Canis lupus familiaris: one gene and its partners. The protein of the gene in region 3 interacts with the protein of the main gene of each other region in a pairwise test. Links are inferred from orthologs where the notes say so. Each region holds a gene or a part of one and is shown on either strand. Other genes may lie near its edges.

Region 1 (3,193 bases), on a different chromosome or scaffold from region 3:
AAGGCTACAGGTGGATGGCTGTGACATCTGTGGGAGTGCTGGTCTGGCTGGGCCCCTGGCTACTGGAGCCCCTGGGGGCTTTGGGCGCCGGGCTGGGCGAGGTCTGGGCGGCTTCTCTGAGGCTCTCCCTGAGCGCAGCTTCAATCTGCTCCTGACAGGCCCGCAGGCAGTCCTGCAAACACGGGGGTGGAGGTGGGGGTAGGGGATGGTAAGGAGTGACTGCTGGGTAGGATGGCAGAAGGTCCCCTTTGGGACTGAGGGCTCACTTCCCACCCCCACAGCATCTGGCCACAGGTGTGGAGGAAGGACACCTTCCAGCACACAGGGAAGTCTGGGGAGGTTAAGCCACAGCCCAGCCCCAGGAATCAGCCTTTAGTTCTAAGAAACTGGCAAGAGGATGTGGCAAGGGGGTGTGAGAGCAGCCCTGCATGTGACAGCAGATCCTCCACCCCACCCCTGCACACCATTTGGCAGGAAAAGGGCACCCAGGGACAGTGCCCTTCAGCCCACCCAAGTCACCTGCTCTTCTCCAGACCAAGGCAGGAGATAAAAGGCCACAGAAGCCCCAAGGGCGGGGCACCTGAAACCAGGAGCAGGGACTAGGTTAGGGATGCATGCCTCCCTCTGCTGGAGGCTCCGGGAATAGCACTGCTTCAGGAACTGCTCACAGGCTGCAGCCCAGGGGCCCCACACTCACCACCTCAGTGCCTGTGATCCCTGCCAGCAGCTCCGTCAGCTCATCCCCAGATGTGGAACAAGCACCCAGGCCTTGCACTGCAGCCCCAATGCTGCCTGTGGCGATCATGGATGGCGGGTACATGGCAAAGGTGTAATCTTGGAAGGAGGGAGAGGGAATCATGAGAGAAAGGCTTAGCGTGGACTTCCTATTGCTCAGAAAGTGCCAGGCAGCTGGAATAGAGCAGGGGGCATACTGAGAACTCCCTGCAGTGAGCTCTGGAGGAGCAGCAAGGGAGAGAGGCAGGAAAGGGCCTCTCCTAGAGAGGGCCAGGGTGGACCACAAACTTCCACAGGTCCTCAGGCCCAGGGTGGTTGGGAAGTGAGCCAAGCCAGGGACCGAGGAGTGAATGAGTCTTCCTGGCAAGAAAATAAAACCAGGGTCAGAAAGCCCTCGGTTCTGCTCCCAGCTTAATCACTGTGAGACCGTGAGCAAGTCCTTTCTCTAAGCCACCTACATAATGGGGGGTCTGTCAAATCCCATACAACTCTGATTATGTTCTGCTGCCTTTTCTGCACCCCCTCATCTCAGAGGGGATATTTTGAGAAGAGTCTAACCCAAATTTTGAAAGGAATCTAACTCAAAATCTAGTTACATGCCACCCTTCCAAGTCCTTGGATTTTCTTCACTTGCCAAAAGTGTGCGGGGCTCTTACCTGTGGCACAGAGGGCCAAAAAGGTCTGGGCATGTTTTTTGACCAGGGCTTGTCGGTCCTGGGGCAGAGAGAGCCGGTGCAGAATCAGAGCCAGGAAATCATGGGCAATCACAGCTGCCAGGTCCCACTTGAGCTTCCCCAGGACCAGCACCTCCCAGTCCTAGAGGTTGGGAAAGAGGGTGGCGTCAGTGGCTGAGGAGGGAAGGGAAGGGAGTAAAGCAGAAGTCTCACGGAAGGAAACCCACCAGACTTGAAGGTCAAGCCCCCAGTTCTGCTTCTGGATTTAAAGACTGGTGCTGTGACATGAGGAGTCCAGAGCACAGAAAAACTGGGGGTGTCTGCTTTGGGCATCTACTGCTTATTTACAAAGTATCAGAACTACACATTTGATATAAACTGTCCTTTTCAATCCCGTTTGGTTATCTTCCGGGGGCCAACAATCCAGGTCTTCTCCTGACTTCACACAGAGCTCTGGGCACTTCTCCAGCCAGAGTTGAAAATAAAAACCACCAGCAGCATCATCACCTTGAGCCTCCTCTGGGGTGAAGCAGAAAGACTCTTCGTAATCCCAAGGATTTGTGAAAGGGGAGACCATAGCCTCTCCAGTTCTGCATCCCTGCCAAGGCCACACCCCTTGAAGAAACCGGAATGAACATGAGGCCCCACCTCCTGTGACACAGCCACTGAACCAAGCCTGAGGTTCCTCAAAGGGGGAGGTTGCCCAACCCAACCCACATCCCGTTGGTGGGACACTGGGGGTGGGCCTGAGATGTAGCACCCCACTCCACCCCCTTTACCTGGAACCATAGTGGCTAGTGTCATTTAAGTCTCAGGAAGCAAAGTGGATGCCAAGCCAGACAGGATGGGTCCAGATGATCCCTGAGGGACCAAACTCTATCTCCAATGGCTCATGGCCCACACCTACATAGCACTGCTAGGTCCTGGAGGGAGGCTAGGAGCCCCACCCCAATCCACGCATCTGGGGTTCCTAGTCCTGGCCCCTTTTCTGAGTTAACACATATGAGGATTTCTTCATTGTTTTATCTCAGGAAGGAACTCATGGGTTTGGCCCCTTACTGAGGCAGAATGGCAACCCCGCCCCGCTTCTTCCAGGTCCCTAGTCACAGCTGTCCCTCTCTTGGCCCCCACCTAGGTGTCATCTTCCCAAATCAGCCCCAAGCCCCTCACAGGGCCCTACAGAAAAGAGCCTGGCCTGGAGCCAAAAGAAGTTGGACAGAGAAGCCAGCATTCTAGTCATGCTTGTCCCAGTGCCTCAACTTGTAAGAAGTGAACAGAAAGCACCTTGCCTCCAAAGAAACATCTGGAAGGCAACCTGGAGTGGAGGCATGGGGTCCCATGTGAGGAAAGGTAGCCACCCAACCCTGTGTCCAGGCAACTCCTGAAAATCTTAGCCCTCACCTGGTGGAGGACATACCCCTGGGAGCGATTAGCGGCAGTGGCTGGCGGCTTCCACATCTGTAGGCTTTAAGGCCACCGGGGCTAGCCTAGAGGACCCGGAGGCTCCTCATGTGCCTCAGTGCAATGCTTCCCTCCTCTGGGCCTCAACCTCCTCTGCTAAACAAGGATTTGGACTGACTAGAGTTCTCTGCAGTCCCTTCCAACTCTGACCTTCCAGGAAGGCATCTGCACACTCCACCCCCCAGCTCACGCAGAGGGAGTGGAGGAAGAGTCCTTGTGGCCTGTTCTAAAAAAACTCCCCTCGCACAAAGGCACACACACCATGCCAGTCTTTTCACAAAAAGGAAGTCCCCTTCTACCTTCCAGCCCAAACCCTCCAAAAA
Region 2 (5,054 bases), on a different chromosome or scaffold from region 3:
GGCCAAATTTTGACTCGGCTCCAAAGTCAATGAGCTGATATTTAGTTAACAGCTACTATGTACAGGTATCTTGAGAGTTTATCCATTGATGTTACCTTTGAACTGTAGATTCTTAGGACACACAGGACAACACACTCCTATCATGTGGGCACATTCCTACCATGTGAGAAGTCGAACTATTTTCTTAGAATTCAGTGGATGAAAATTTGAATTTAATTAAAATGTTATCACTGTGTTCCAGGTTTCCCCTACACACACATACACACACAAACACACACACACACACACACACAGGCACAACTGTAATTGAATTTCACCGACACAACAAATGTCTTGGGGTATCTGGGTATCTTATTCCTGGATGTAGCCTCAGTGCTTAGTATAGTGCCTGGCACACAGTAGGAACACACACAAAAAAAATTTGTATTTAAAGCGTTATTTCCGGGAAGTGTGAAAATTCCAGCAGTGTGGTAATTTGGGATCCAAAGGATTTGTTTGGGGAGCAGGAGGTAGAAGCTCGCCAGGCCTGGAGAGAGCAAAGAAGGAAGGAGGAATAGAAAGGAGATTGTCATTACCAGCAGCTCCTGAGGCTTGATGGAGTTGTCAGTGTAAATGCACAACTTCTCTGCGGTCAGAGGGATAGTCTCTTTAAGTTTGGAGGCCAGGAACATGCAGACAGCACCCAGGAGCTGCAGATGGGTCTTAGGAGTTGGGACCCCGGCCAAGAAGCGATCCAGGTAATTCATGGCCAAAGGGAAGACCTCCTCTTCGCACTTCTGTTCCTCACAGACCTAAGATGGGAGCGGGAATGGGTTGGGTGGGGGTGGTTGGAGGGAAGAATATCAGGAAAACACACATACACAAAAAAAGAAATGAAAAGGCATAACCTATGGAAAGAAGCAAAAATATTTAATTTTTCAGCGGGGAGGGGGAGGGGAGTAGACTATGTGATAAGAATAAAGATGAGGAAAACGGGGTAAATCTAAATGGTCGGTGCTGGGGTACTCCCCAGGAACGTAAGAGAGAGTTGAACTGAAGATCCGAACCGAGGAGGCAAACAAATGCGCAGTAGCCGCCAGGCTCGGCGACGCTCCCTTTGGCTACTGACTTCTTTGCTCCCTCTAACTCACTCACACTCTCTTTTTTGGATTTCGTCATCTTTTCAAAAAATCAATAAAAATATTCTGGAGGCTCCGGGGGTCTTCTTCTTGGTCTCATTCGGAGCCCCGGACCCTGCTCTATCATTCCCGACAATTGAAAAAAATGTCCGGGGGCGTCCTTGCGGCCCAGGCGCCGCTATTGGGGGGGTGGGTGGGGAGAGGTGGGGAAGAGAGGGGGAGGGAGGAGAAGAGGAAGAGCCGCAGCCTCGGCGGCGGACTCGGAGCCTGGGGAGACGGTTTCAAAAAATAATTAAAAATCGAGGAAATATCCTAGAAAAGCCCTTTTGGCGTGAAAACCCCACAGAGGAACCAGGCTTCCCGAAACGGAGATTTCGGGTGCCGGAAAGGTCTGTATCTCAACCCCTGGGGCTTTGGATCCCGAGGGGAAAGTTGGAGGGGTGAGCGCCGCGGCGGGAGTGTCCGTCCGGCTGCGGCCCGCAAGGGCAGAAACCGGGGACCGTGGTGAGGAGCCGGGGGAAAGGCGAGGAGCGGGGCGCCGCCGGAGAGCACCCGGGGCTCTGACCTCTCCGTTGGGGGCGCCCCGACATCCCCCCTACACACACCTCCTCCCCCCTTCCTACCCCACCCAAATCTCCGCACCGAGAAAACTGGAAAGCCAAACTGTAAGTAACCTTCGTGAGGTGGGGGCTGGGGGAGAGGGTACTATTGCAAGTGGGGGGGCCGGGCTAACGGGGTGCGGGGGGCGAGCGGGCAACGCTTTCCAGCCTTTCCAGCCGGAGTTTGCAAAGCAACATGGCGAAACCACGGCAGGTCCAGAGCCGTGCATACGTGGGCACACGGCTCGCTCGGCAAAGATTTGGAGCAAGGGTAAAGAAGTGGTTCTTTTGGGTTCCCCTAAAACACACGTTTCTTCATTGCGACTTCCGGGGCTCCTGAATTCTCCGTTTCTCTCCTCCTCTCTCCTCCCCCCCTCCTCCCCCCCCCCCCCCCCAAGTGCCAACGCGGAGTCGCAACCACATGCGGGGACCTGAGGCTAGGACGATTTTGCTCTGGCCTTTGGGGGGCTGCTCTTTTTTACTTTGGGGCCCCGATTCCACGCTCCCACTCCCAGCTTCACTGCACCGAAAGCAGCCGCAGCTTCGCAAAAGACAGATCAGGATGGGGGTGGGAAGAAGAGGCAGCCACATGCAGGCACACGCGCGCGGGATGCTCCCCCACCCCCGCCCCAGGACAGTCTCGTTTCTCCCAGATTTTCCTCCTCCCCCCCTCCCCTCCCCCAGTTCTTCTAGCATCCTGCAGGGAACAGAAATGAAGCCACGCGTCTCGCCAAAGGGCGAGGGGTAACCTCGCGCGCGGGAGTGCGGAGGCGAGCGCGGATCCTGCCATCTCCCAGTTTTAGGGTCCCTGCGCTGGGGGCGGGGGTGGGGAGCGTGGGCGTCTATCCGGATGGGGACAGACGGAGTCCGTCTGCAGACCTACCTCCAGCATCCAGGTGGCCACCATCCTGCGCATGTAGGGCTGGATGTCCTTCTGCACGCATTTGAAGTAGGAGCACTGGGGAAGGTAGCGCTCCTCGATGGTGAGCAAGTTCTGCAAAACGCGGTCGTCGTAGAGCAGGTTGGCGTCCGGCACGGCCCTGCGGACCGGGTCCACCTCGCAGCACAGCAGCTCCATGGCCAGTCGGGTACCCGCTCGCTCCCCTGCTTTCTCCGGACTGGAAAAGTTGGGGGGTTTTGAAGGGGGGAGGGGAGAGGGTTCCCCTTACCTCCTTCCTTTGGCTAAATAGGGGGTTTTCGAGAGAAAAGTTATGGGGCAGAGAGAGACAGAGGCTGGGGAGAAGAGAGGAGAGGGAAGGGCGCTGGGAGAGGAGAGCCTCGGGGGCTGCTAACTCTGCCTGCCCTCCCCTTCAAACTTGTCTCGCTCTCCCCTGCTCGCTCTTCTCTGCTCTGCGAGGCAGTGACGCAAACTGGCTGGGCAGTTAGTTCTCCTCCCTCTCGCCTCGCTCCCCTCTCCGGTTCCTCCTCCCCTTCCCTCCCCTCTCGTCCCTCCCCTCCTCCTTTCAATCTCTCCGTCCCTCCCTCCCTTTCCCCTCTTGTTATTTAGGAGAACAGCAGCTGGCCCGACCTAACTTCAAACGCGGTCCCCCGCCCCCCCACCCCTCTCCTTAGCTCTCCGAGGCCCTTTCCCTCTATCCAGCCCTGCATGCCAGGGGCCCCGAATAGGGGAACCCACAAAAAAACCCCACCGATTCCTACTTATTCCCTCTAATTTCGCACATTCTGTGGGCGTATCGTGCCAAGTACGACCCTCCAACTTTGGCTTTCTCAAAATTGACCTTTCCATTCCTGCCCATGCATGTAAGATCCGAGAATGACGAGTGGATCACTTGAAGATGGGGTGGGCTCCTGCAATTTATAAGCAGATCCCTTAAGTGAAGAATAAGGAGGGCGATTTTAGAAAATAGCAACCTCGGATATCCAGAGATAAAGATTCTGTCCCGGACGTTTGAGCTCCTGGATCACTTCGGGCTGTTTCAAAAGCCCGATTAAAGGGGCCAGAACAACGCCCCCCCACCCCACCCCGCCTGTGTGTGCGAAGAGGAAGGAGAGGAAGGGGTGGGTGTTAGGAGGGAGGGGGCGGCTTCTCCGACGTGATAGAATGTGACCCTGAAGCAGAAACCCTCCCCTTCTTGGGGGCGCTACAGGCGCCACGGGGAGCAGGAGAGAAGAGGTCTGGGCTGCCGCAGGCTGGGGGGGGGGGGGCAGGGCTACCATCGGTTCTTCCGCGGCCCGCGGCCACGCAGGAAAAACCCGCTTCCTCGCCCCTGCATCTGCTGACAAGCCGCCCGAGGTGTCTGCGCCGAGCGTGGCCACACTGATACAGCTTTCTAGGAAATAGCCCGGGAGGGGGAGGGGAGGAGAGGGGGGCGAGGGAGGGATTAGGTTTGGCTCCCCCTCTCTCCCCCTGCGCAAACAACACCACCCCTTCCTTTCCTCGGAGGCCCGAGACTTCCATCCTGTGTCCTCCGCTGGCATCCTCGCCGACCCCTCCGGGTTCATGCCTCACCCGCCAGCCAGGGCTTTCTCCCCGGGAGCCGGGTTGCGGTGGGGACGCTGCCAGCGCAGTCGGCTCCGACATGTGCTCTAACGCATCCCCGGGTCAAGGCTGCTTTTACAGGGGATATGGTGGCGTTTCCTCACCTTCTTCCTCCCCCCCCGCCCCCCTCCCCCGGGTTTCAGTGTAATTTCACTTGGGGGGGAAGGGGAGAGAGCCCAGCGCCCCCGGCAAGTTGGCGGAGCTGGCACGTGCAGGGAGCATGGCGTGGGTCAGGGCTCGGGACACACCGTGGTCAACCGAGCGCCTCCTTCGCGGAGGCCGGGGGCCCGAACCGGGGTGTGGAGAGCTGGCGGGGAGGGGGGGCTGGGTGAGCTGTACACTCGGTTCCCTGAAAGGAGCGGGGGGAGTGGAATAGGGAAGGCGGGGAGTGAATAAACCAGAGGTGCTAGCGATTAACTCGGGCCCCGAGGCCAGCCCCTTTAAACGAGGGTGGGGCGGAAGGGGTGGGGGGGAAGGGGGGGATATCGCTTTAAAAGGGTGAGTAAGAGTTTGGGGCGCCGTCTCCCCTCCCTCTATTTGCATAGCCAATAGCTCTGGGGCTCCTGCTACTGCGCGCTGATTGTTACCGGGCAGATTACTTTTTTCTTTTTTTTTTTTTTTTTTTTTTTTTTTTTTTTTTTTTTTTTTTTTAGTAGGACGCGTTCCCCGCTACATCAAAAGGAAGCCAAGGGAGGGCGGAGGGAGCGCGGGGACTGGGGCGGGCGAGGGCCGGGGAGAGGCCGGGGCGCCTGCGACCTTATCAATGGCCGAGGGAATTAGGATCCAATCTACCGTAGGTAAAGAAAGGGGAGGGAAGGGGGCGGCGAAGAAAAAGTC
Region 3 (5,144 bases):
CAGCACCGCCACCTCGCGGATGGTGGAGAGCGGCATGCCCTCCTCGCCCGTCTGCACCCGCACGCGCTTCAGCGCCACGAAACGGCCTCCGTTCTTCAGGTCCCGGGCCTTGAACACCTTCCCGTAGGCACCCTCCCCGATCTCCGCCACGCACTCGTACTGCTGGTCCGCGCGGCTCAGGCCGTCCTTCTCCATGCCGCCCGGACGCCGCCCGGCGCGGCACCGCTGGGGCGGGCGGGGGGCGCGCTCGGCTCGCCTCCGGGACTCCCTGGCCCGCTCCCTCGCGCCCCGGAGCTCGGTCTCGCTCGCCCTCGCCCTCGCCCCCGCCGACTACCGCGCTCCGGCGCTCGGGTTCTCGCGGCCGCTGGGGCTGGATGGAGCGACCTCCCCGCGGGCGGGCGCAACCCCGGTGCCGCCGCGAAACTCCGCCTGCCGAGTCGCCAAGGAGCGAGCCGATCCCTCCTCTTCCCTCCCCGAAGCGCAGTCCTCTGCACAGACACCGAAGCGATTACATAGTCTCTACCCCTGCGCGTCTCAGTCCACAAGCCTTCCACCTAAAAGAAGAGACGGGAGGACAAGAAAAAGTGCAATCAGACATCCCGGGCGCCTTCCTCCGAGTTCCCGCAGACTCCCCTCCTCCTACTCCATAGAGCCCCCATCGCTACCCTCGGCGCGCTCCTGCCCTCTCCCAGGCTGCTTAATCCTTCCTGGTTCCTCCGAGAAAAGCGAAGTTACTTTTCTTTCCCTGCAGAGCTGGAGCCGTCTTCGCGCAGAGAGGTTGCAGGGGCCCCTCGGGGATGAGCGCGCGGCGCGGGACGCAGTGGAACGGGAGGGGGCGTGCCGAGCAGCCCAGAGTGTGCCGGGAGCGCGGGGGAGGGGAGGTGCCGGGCACGTCAATGTCACGGCTTAATATTTATCCCTACATCATTGTGTTGCACTGCTACCCACCCCGCCCCCCCGGGCCTGGGCGTGCAGGGAGAGGGGCTCCGGGGTGCCGTGGGGCTTTCGGGGGTTGTGCCCAAGCTGCTGTGGAGGGGCTGTGGGTCCACCCGTGTGGGGCTGCCGAATGTGGGTGGGGGCTCCCGGGACCCTGTAACCCGATGCTGGGAGTGTGCGAGGAGGGGTGGTCAGACATCTGCTGGGAAATTGCTTCCTTTCTTTCTACTTTCAGTTTTTCTGCGAGGAGACATTTAAAAACGACTTGCACACACAAATGGTCTTTTTGGGGTAAAGAAGTCTGGACTGGAAACGAAATTCTTCCTCCGACTCGGAGGACCTCCCTGGTGGAAACCCATGAGGTCGGGGAGGGCTGGGGCTCCCGCTACTCGGGAGTGGAGGAGCGGTGGGGCCCCAGAGGGGGGAGTCGCCCAAAGGACCGTAAGGGTGGGAGGACGGGTTATTCGTCGCACTTTGGCTTGTCATCTCCTGAGAGAGTAACTGCGGGAGGAAGGTAGCGTAACCGCGACTCGCCCTGAAATCCTCAACTAATTTCAACCTCATCAAAACCCAACCTCCTCTTAAAAAGGTTGGGGGTGGGAGGAGTAAATGCCAAGCCTCGGGGGTGAGAGAGAAGGGGCTGCGCCCTGGGCGCCGGGACTCCGAACCTTTCCCCACTCCCTGGAACTTCTCCAGATCTTCTGGATCTGAAGTTGCAGAGGTGGCTGCTCCATTCCTCCCTCCGCTCGAGGCCTGGTCTCATCAGGCAGGGGCCAAACGCGCCCCCCGACCCCCCGACCCCGCTCGGGGCCCTCCGCACAACACAGTGCGGGGGTGGGGAGGCAGGGTAGGGACACGCTTTCCCCTCCCCATTCAGTCGTAATCCAGGGCCGCCGCGGCCTCGGCGGTACATTCGCCACGCCGGCCGCGTGTCTGGAATCCCCGGGACACCTCGGAATTACCTGCCCCGCACCGCCGGCCGCTCGCCTCCTGCCAGGAGTTAAACAAATGGCGCGATCCCCACGGCGTGCTGGCAGAGGGGACCGCAGCGAGCGCAGGGCCCCTCACACTCCATTCAAAGCTCTCCTTAAAAGGTAAAGGCGAGTCCCGGGGGAGAAAGGACTGAGCCCCCCAAGAGCCTGCGCGGGGGTCCGAGCCAGGCCTAGGGCCACACAGGTAGCCGCGGAGCCGCCGGCCGCGCCGCCCGCCCGCCCCTCCCGCATCCCCCTCCCCGCCGCAGTCCGACCGGAGGCTCAGCAGCTCCGGCAGCGCCGCGGACGTCCCACCCCCGCAGGGAGCTGCGCCCGCTGCCCCCGCCCGGCCCCGCACCGCCCGCCCAGGCTCCCCCCTCCCCCCCGCTCCCCGGACCGTCGGCTCCGGCGGAGAGAAACGGGAGCAACAGTGCCTTTTCCCCCCCTCTCCTCCACTTTTTTTTGTTGTTGTTGTTGCTTTCCCACGCTGGCTGAATGTGACTTGACCCCATTTCAAAAAAGTTTGACATAGTGCTTCAACATTTCCGCATTCCTCCGCGACTACAAAGGCTGCAGCCGCCTCCTTCTGCTTTCTGTCTCTGCTCTCTGTCTTCACACTCAATGAAATCCTTCATGTGCCTCTCCCGAAGCCTGCCAAGCACCGCAAGGGTCGCCACCAGCGCAGCGACAAGAGGCCGCACGGGGACCACGACTCCCGCGTGTGCGCACACGCAGATGAGCCCCACGTGCACACTGTGGGGCGCGCTGCGGGGCCCGGCGCTGCTCACCGCGGGGTGTGCGTTCTAACTCGGATACTGCAAATTAATAAAAGTAAACTGGGAAGCTAAACGCCAACGTGCGTCCTTGTGGGGCTCCAAGCCCGTGCACTGGCCGCCTGCGTGCACTCCTCTAAGTGTGCATAACACCCCCGCAGGGGAGGGGGTTCCAGCAAGAAGCCTGCGTTAACATTGATCTCGTGGTGGAGAAGGTGGAGGCCACACCCACACCTCCGCGAGCTGGAGAGTGAGCTCCGGTGGGGAAATGAACGTGGGGCACGGAAGCACAGTGTCCCGCATGGAGTCCCCCCCGAGGCAGTGCATTTTAAACTCTAAAGGGTAGATTATTCTTTGAGGGTCCGAGCGGAGTTTATATTCCGCTTTAAGGAGCCTGATGAGTGCGTGGGTGTTTGCGCGCACGGCTGTGTGGGAGCAGCACCGGATCTTAGTGTTGGGGGGTGTCCCTGGTATGGGATGTCCTTCCCTCGCCAGATTAGGAGAGAGTCCTCTAACTCCCCAGGACTGGTCCCCATCCCTAGCCCGCCTCGGGTCGTAAGGGGTTAACTACAGCCGATTCCGAAGACGTACACCCCCCACCACAGTCACCTCCACCCACACCCCCGCTTCCGACCCCGGCCAAGCTCCCGAATCTCCCCCGGGGACCCCCCACCCCGCAGCCCACCCACCCGACCGCACTGCTCCTCACCTGAGGGGCCCGGCCGCGTCGGGCCTCCGGGGAGGGCTGCGAGTGTCTGTGCGACCTCCGCACGTGTCCACCGCGCGCCGAGCAGGTAACCGGCTCGGAGGAAGGAGGTAGCGGCGCTCTCTCCCGCGAAGGGGTGGGCACAGCGGCGGAGGGCGGAGGGACGGCGGAGGCACGGCGGAGGGCGCCGCCCGCGCCGCACGCTGGGGGCGGCCGGGGGCTGCGGGGCGCGGGCCGGGGCTCGGGGCGAGCCGGGGCGGGGGCGCCCCCCCCCCCCCCAGGCCGACTCTGCCCGAGACCCACCCGGAGGCGGCGACGGGGCTAGGGGCTCGCTGCGCCGAGGCAAGCAAGTGTGCAAATTAAAGCCTTCCGGAGAGAGGGGAGGCGGCGAGCCCGGCTGTGCTCCGGGTCTCCACTCCCCAACGCTCGGCTCCGAGTGGGGGGCGGGAGGGCGGCGGGGGGGGGGGGCAGTTAAATGAAAATTTCCGGCTTTCGCTGCAACTGGAGCGAGGGATCTTGCAACTAAAATACGAGGCGTGAGAGGGAGAGTGGGACGTGTCGTCGGGAGTCCGCGGAGTTTCCAAACCCAGGGTCGCCGGGAGTTGGGGTTTTGACAGAGTGAGGCGGGGGGACCAGCAGGCTGTGATGTGGCCGGGTGGGAAAAACACAAAACAACCAACCATAATTATGAGGGGCCGGTGGGGGTGGGAAAGACCAACACTTTCCAAGAAACTGAAAAATCAGACCAAAAAAATAACTCTTCTCTATTTAAAAAAAAAAAAAAAAAAAAAGTCTGGCAGGGCGCCTTGCAGAAAAGAAAATACTAATCTGTCCAAGCACTTTTCACTTTCAGCATGAGCTACATTTGTTTTGTTTTCCTTCGCTTCCTTTCGGCCTCACAAAGCCCTATCTTTTCCTTTTGGACAGAGGATAGGATTTGGAAATTGTCAGGCACTCTGTGGTTAACGACGTACTTGAAGGGGCTCGCGGGTTCACAATTATTAAGTGGTTAGCAATTGCTAAGGGTTCACTAAGGTGTTTCTGGGGAGCTAAAAAGACTAAAATTTAATATAAATATCAGAACTGCAAGATAATGGATACACACACACACACACACCCCAAACAAAGAGAAGAGAACGTGATTCAGTGGGTGCTCAGTTTAAATGCATTATTGGAATTCTGAAATTTGAAACCTTGTAAGAATGTATACTTTACCTGCTGAGAAAACCTGAATACAATTATTGCAGGTGAAAATGAGATTTTTGACAAAAAAAAAAGCCCTCAAGACCCTGCAAAGGAGTAAATCCTCCCCCCAAAAAAGCTGTTTTTGTTTTTTTTTTTTTGTTTTTTTAAGAATCCAGTGTTCTCTAAAGTCTGTATCTGTAGAATACTTGAAACCCTTTTAAACATCTTAAAGCAAAGTTAAAACATTTATTTATTTCAGATCTCTAGAAGAACTGAAATCCAGCGAAATACTGTTTGAATTGGAAATATTAACCTCAATAAATTTTTTGACTTTTTGAATTAAACCATGTTGCCCAATGTCAGAGTAAATCAAAATTTCGCCCTTATAAAATTAATTCCAACTACAGTGTGAAGTAACAGGTTAGGCAAATTAAAATTTTTGCATTTTCATTAGGAAATATTTTATAATACATTATAGTAATTTGTTCTTGAATGATAAAAGTGGATATTTGTGTTTTTTTATGCTTAAGATAATTCATAAAATACATTTTGTGTTTAGAAGCATGTCTTCTA
Region 4 (5,315 bases), on a different chromosome or scaffold from region 3:
GTAGCCGCCCTCAGTCCCCCGCGGCTGCGCGCAGGTACCGGGCGACAGCGCCGTGGCCCCGCTCCTCAGCCAGGTCCACGGGCAGGCGGCCCCAGGCATCGCGCACGTCCAGCCGCGCCCCGGCTCGGTGCAGCACCACCAGCGTGTCCAGGAAGCCCTCCCGGGCCGCGTCGTGCACAGGGCGGGTGAGGGTGGCGGGGTCGGCACAGTTGGGGTCGGCGCCGTGGAGCAGCAGCAGCTGGGCCACGCGGGTGCTGCCCATCATCATGACCTGCCGGGAGAGCAGAGTGGTCAGGGCGGCAGTGGTCAGGGCAGCGGGATGCAGGCCTGGGCAGGGACAGGTGGACCATTTCAAAGAAATACCTATTCAGGAAGTATCCACCTAACACAGAGGCGCTACAAGCCTCAGGAGTCCGTTATACTTTGTTGATGCAGTCCCAACACCCCTCACCCTCACCCTCACCCTCGCCCTCGCCCCGCCCCCGCCCCCGCCCCAGTTATACTCCTTATTCGGCTCTGAGTTCCATCTTATTCTCCAAACACGCGGAGACGAGAAAGCGCTGATAGAAAGCGCTAAGAGTCGTTGTGCGAAAAAGAAATTTTTGGTTTCCCTTGGAACATGGGCATCTATTTTGTTAAATGATTTATGGGGGGAGTTAAGTTTAAAAGCTTTTAAAATCTTAAGATTATTTCTCTTGGTGGCTCTCCCACCTCAGCCATAATCTAGCTCTAAAAATATTTATTAGGCAGTTGATATTTTTAAGAGAGGCGTTAGAGGAGAAATAGTGCTTTGAGTTTTTTATTTCTTTTAATAAATTCCCTGTTGGAGGCTTTTACTTTTCACTCTCATATATATCTGTGCTTATAAATTGAATATAGTCAGACAATTTTGAGTCCAAATTGGATATAGAGGGGGAAAAAGGAAAAAAGTCATATCTAGTCTTATAAGATAATGAAGTTATTTTTTTAACAAATGGCTTATCATTTTTAATATTTTAAGTTAACATTATAACATGTTTAATATTTTAAGGGATAAAGTTTTTTTTTTAAGATTATTTATTTATTCAAGAGAAACAGAGAGAGGCAGAGACAAAGGCAGAGGGAGAAGCAGAGGCTCTCTGCGGGGGAGCCGGATGCAGGATGTGATTCCAGGACCCGGATCAGAGGCCCAACCACTGAGCCATCCAGGTGCCCTGGCAAGGGATAAAGTTTAAAGGATAATATATTTAATGTAACATAAACATGTAACATAAACAGTATATTTACATTATTCAGGATTTTATAATGTCATAGGATTTTATAATGTTAGATAGTAAATAATTTGCTATGTATAAAAGAACTTGGTTGTCAGTCAAATCAGAGTAATGTATAACTTAGAAAAAAATGTTCTGGAGCTGTACTTCTGTAGCATCTACTTTTGTATATGCATTTTATACAAGTATTTACTTTCTCATTTTAAAAATAAAACAGTTTTTGATAACTAAATATCCAAAATGGAGTTTTTCTTGTGAGTTTAAGTATTTTAAGATGTACTACGTAATTGAAAGATAGTATACTATTTGTTTCATGAATATTAAAAACATCCATTTCCTCCCTTAAAGATATGATATGTTATTTCTATTAGTGATGTATGTAAGGTATTTCATATGTAGAGGGGAAAAAAGTGGTTCTTAGAATCTCAGAAAATGAATTAAAACTATAATTAAAATTTCTTTTTAGTTATTAATATCATTTGAAATCTTAAATTATCCCTCATTTCTTTCTCTTTTTTATTTATTTTTTTAAAAAGATTTTATTTATTTATTCATGAGAGACACAGAAAGGCGGAGACACAGGCAGAGGGAGAAGCAGGCTCCATGCAGGGAGCGCACCGTGGGACTCGATTCCAGGTCTCCAGGATCAGGCCCTGGGCCGAAGGCGACGCTAAACCGCAGAGCCACTCGGGCTGCCCTCTTTCACTCTTTTTAAAAGATTTTATCCACTTATTTATTTGTGAGAGCACCCACAAGGGAGGAGGGACAGAGGGAGAGGGAAAAGCAGCCGCCCTGTAGAGCCTGGAGCCTGATGCTGGGCTCAACTCCAGGACCAGGGAAGGGCTCATGACCTGAGCCCAAGGCAGACGCTTAAGGGACTTAACCACCCAGATGCCCCTAAGCTATCCCTCAAGTCTTATAACACTTTTCTAAGAATGCAAAAGGAATGAACATATTTTCTTTTAAAACCTACACGATTAATAGGGTTCCTTAATAACAGATTGGTTCTAGAATGTGACATCGAGATGAATACTAACCACTATAGTCAACAATAAGGCACAAAATATTACTTTGAATTTTAAGGGAATTAAAAAATATCAGTACTAATTAAAGCTGGATTAATAAACATTGGATAAAGGGTGTTAACAATGAACACTGCTAACGTAAAAGGAATTAAGTACTGTGGTCGAGGAATCCTGGCTTATCTCTTTGTATTCATTTTGCCTCTATGAGAAAAGAATACGAAGAGTTTCATATCGCAGCCTCCCAGTGCAGGTAATTCAAGTTCAACGATTCCGCATTATTCCTTAAATCTAATTCGGATTGTGTAACTTGCCGTTTAATCATCTCTTATCAATGAAAGTTGATCGATATTTATTGAAAGAGAGTCGAGAGTTTTCCTCCCCAAACAACCTCTCCTCTTCCCCCAACTGAATCTATCCCTTGCACTTGTGATCACGGGACGGGAGAGAGAGTATGGACATTTCCCCACCGCTGCAAAGAAAACCAAACTTAAGTAGCGTTTGTTGTTTGTTTGTTTGTTTGTTTTTTCCGATCCCTTTCTTTAGGATCGTCGGTGGGGGAGAACCTGCGCGACACCTGGGCCCCACGGCCTCACGGAGGAGACACGCAGATACGTCGGCGAAGCTCTCGGTCCCCGTCGCGTCCCACGGAGGCCGCTCCCCTGCGTTCCTGCGCCCCCTGCCGGCGAGGCCCCGGGGCCCCAGCTACCTGGATCGGGCGCCTGCCGAAGCTGTTGACTCCGTTGGGATCCGCGCCGGCTTCCAGGAGCTGCCGCACGGTCTCCGCCTGCCCCTGCGCCGAGGCGCTGGCCAGGCCCGCGTCGCCGCCGTCCCCGCCGCCGTCCCCGCCGCCGTCCCCGCCGCCGCCGCCGCCGAGCAAGCCCGTGGCCTCCTCGCGCATCTCGCAGCCCGCAGACGCGGACGGGCCGGGAGGATCCACCGCGGGCCGTGAGCGGAGCTTCGTCACTCGCCTCCCTGTTTCCCCTCCTCGTCCCGGCGCCCTCTCCCCTCGGGAGGAGAGCTCAGGTCAGCTTTCAGCCCTCTTCCGCCGTCCTCCGCGGCTTGGGGGCCCGGGCAATGGCCGAGCCCCTCGTGGTGAATAGGCTTTCCCGGGCTCGCTCCCGGGACGAAGCGCCTCGGGTGGCCGCAGCCGAGCGCAGGGCGCGTCCGGCCGCCGAGGGCAGGCGCGTCGCCGCGTCCACACCGCCCAGCGTGGCTCCGGCTAGGCGGAGAGCCCGCACGGACTGAACCCGTCTGCGGCCGGGCGGCCGGGCCGGGCAGGGCACTCCCCACCCCCTTAGGCTCCGCCCCCGGCCCGGCCGGCCTGCGCGGGCGCGTCCCACTGCGCGGGCGGGGAGGCTCGGCCCGCAGTGACGTCACAGCCGACGGAGTCCGGGCGGCGGGGCGGGGGGCGGGGGGGGGCGGGGGGGGCGGGGGGGGGGGGGGGCGGGGAGGGCGGCGCGGACGGCGCTGGGACGCATGCGCCGGACTCGGGGCGCCCGCAGCCTGCAGTCCCGCCCGCCGAGCGTCCTGCAAGGCCTCAGCTAAGGTTTTGGAAAAGTTGAAGCAACGCGCTCAGTTCCTAATCCCCTCCCTCCAGCAGGCGGAGCAGAGGGTTTCTGTTCCTTGAGCCCCGTGCCGGCTGCTTTCACGCCGGAGAGACGTTAGTCTCTCTCTTGTGTGATCGAATGGCTGGCTAAGAGAAAGGCTTTTAAAATAACTTTGTCTCCCTCAAGATTTCTGAAAGTGACAGCTTTGCACCTGTCACGCAGGTTAAATTCATCCCCAGGCAGTACTTGAACTTCTCTAGCTTCACATCTTGCATCAACCTTAGCAAATTTCTTTTGGGTGTGTCTTCTTAGCTGAATCAGTCAAAAATCAGTCACGGTGAAAAATCCTGAGAATCCTGTTTGAATGTGCTTTTTATTCTTTTCATCTTTGAATAATGGGTACACACGCGCGCGCGCGCGCGCACACACACAAAACCCCCCAAAAACCTAGTTTGAGATTGACAATGGCAAGCTGGTGTTTTTGAGACATTTAAAAAATATGAATATGTATTTTAAGAATCTGAGATTCCAATTTCATGATGTTTGAATAATATTTTTGTTTGCACTCTTACCTATTTAAACCCACTTTGCAAGCATTTGGTTTTTATTTATGATGAGTAATAAAGGAAATTTATGCAGTAATAATGAAACATAATAAAACAGGGGTGTGGTGCTGGGCCTGTCATTAAACGGGCTGAACCTGTCATTAAACCCTCTTCTGAAGATTTAAAGGCCAATTGCTTTTCTTCCCAATCTGCTTAGGTGAGTTTGAATTAACATATGCATTGCTTTAAAGATTTTAAGAAATTACAGCTGATGTTTGATTGAAATAGGAAAAGAACCACAAGTTATGTATCTGTTGCCTGAAAGTTTTGGTGAGGAGCTACGTTAGACTGAGCTTCTTCCAACATGGAGCAGTTCTTATTTACAAGATTAATTTTGGTTCAGAGTGCAGAGGAAGAGTCTTTAAGGAAGGGCAATTGCTTGCTTACTCATAAATGAGAGTTTATTTCACATGTTTCTTCTAGCATACCTTAGCTTGGACCTAAGCTCTTTAAAGACAGAGGAGCCTATGGAAGTGGTGGTTAGGAGTGAAGAGCTACTAACTGAGACAGAGTTGAAATCCACCCGGATAGGGAAGGGAAGGAGGCAGCATTAATAACCATTTTCCCCCTCTCTCTTGCCCCATCCCCATTTCTTAGTTTTCAGTTTCTTGATTTCTCTATCTTTCCCTCTTATTTGGACGTTCACTCTTATCTGAATAAGAAAAGCCCCCTTATTTGTTGATAGTGGCTCCATTCCTTGGTCTGGCTAGAAGTCTACTTGTGTTTGAAAAGCATAGATGAGCTGTTTATGACCAGTCTTTGGGGACAGTCCCCATTCACCGTGTATTGGGGATTACAGGTGTGTTGGTAGAATGAGAGAATGAGGAGGAAATATGGGAAGTGGGAAGTCAGAGTTTTGAAATGGATGGCCTTGGTTCTTTGGTA

The links.
Region 1: the proteins of CDK6 (region 3) and CCND3 interact in binary tests that used the Homo sapiens proteins (3 or more experiments, as listed by UniProt). The link is inferred for Canis lupus familiaris from reciprocal best matches to the Homo sapiens genes CDK6 and CCND3.
Region 2: the proteins of CDK6 (region 3) and CCND2 interact in a two-hybrid assay, tested with the Homo sapiens proteins (2 studies listed by BioGRID, with this or other methods). The link is inferred for Canis lupus familiaris from reciprocal best matches to the Homo sapiens genes CDK6 and CCND2.
Region 4: the proteins of CDK6 (region 3) and CDKN2B interact in binary tests that used the Homo sapiens proteins (3 or more experiments, as listed by UniProt). The link is inferred for Canis lupus familiaris from reciprocal best matches to the Homo sapiens genes CDK6 and CDKN2B.

The regions. Positions count from the first base shown.
Region 1 is NC_049233.1:10,783,494-10,786,686, forward strand, and holds part of CCND3 (G1/S-specific cyclin-D3), read right to left. Parts: intron 1,552-3,193; coding exon 1,392-1,551; intron 835-1,391; coding exon 698-834; intron 173-697; coding exon 5-172; 3' UTR 1-4. UniProt on the Homo sapiens protein: Regulatory component of the cyclin D3-CDK4 (DC) complex that phosphorylates and inhibits members of the retinoblastoma (RB) protein family including RB1 and regulates the cell-cycle during G(1)/S transition.
Region 2 is NC_049248.1:5,497,687-5,502,740, reverse strand, and holds the start of CCND2 (G1/S-specific cyclin-D2), read right to left. Parts: upstream 3,107-5,054; 5' UTR 2,796-3,106; coding exon 2,601-2,795; intron 792-2,600; coding exon 576-791; intron 1-575. UniProt on the Homo sapiens protein: Regulatory component of the cyclin D2-CDK4 (DC) complex that phosphorylates and inhibits members of the retinoblastoma (RB) protein family including RB1 and regulates the cell-cycle during G(1)/S transition.
Region 3 is NC_049235.1:18,374,119-18,379,262, forward strand, and holds the start of CDK6 (cyclin-dependent kinase 6), read right to left. Parts: upstream 3,542-5,144; 5' UTR 3,390-3,541; intron 2,757-3,389; exon of another isoform or gene 2,430-2,756; intron 2,150-2,429; exon of another isoform or gene 1,941-2,149; coding exon of another isoform or gene 1,814-1,940; exon of another isoform or gene 1,451-1,813; coding exon of another isoform or gene 798-1,450; exon of another isoform or gene 555-797; 5' UTR 196-554; coding exon 1-195. Other genes in the region: uncharacterized protein LOC102152579, read left to right, coding at 798-1,450, 1,814-1,940. UniProt on the Homo sapiens protein: Serine/threonine-protein kinase involved in the control of the cell cycle and differentiation; promotes G1/S transition. Phosphorylates pRB/RB1 and NPM1.
Region 4 is NC_049232.1:41,374,882-41,380,196, forward strand, and holds CDKN2B (cyclin-dependent kinase 4 inhibitor B), read right to left. Parts: upstream 3,177-5,315; coding exon 3,151-3,176; intron 3,115-3,150; coding exon 2,985-3,114; intron 1,486-2,984; exon of another isoform or gene 272-1,485; coding exon 11-271; downstream 1-10. UniProt on the Homo sapiens protein: Interacts strongly with CDK4 and CDK6. Potent inhibitor. Potential effector of TGF-beta induced cell cycle arrest.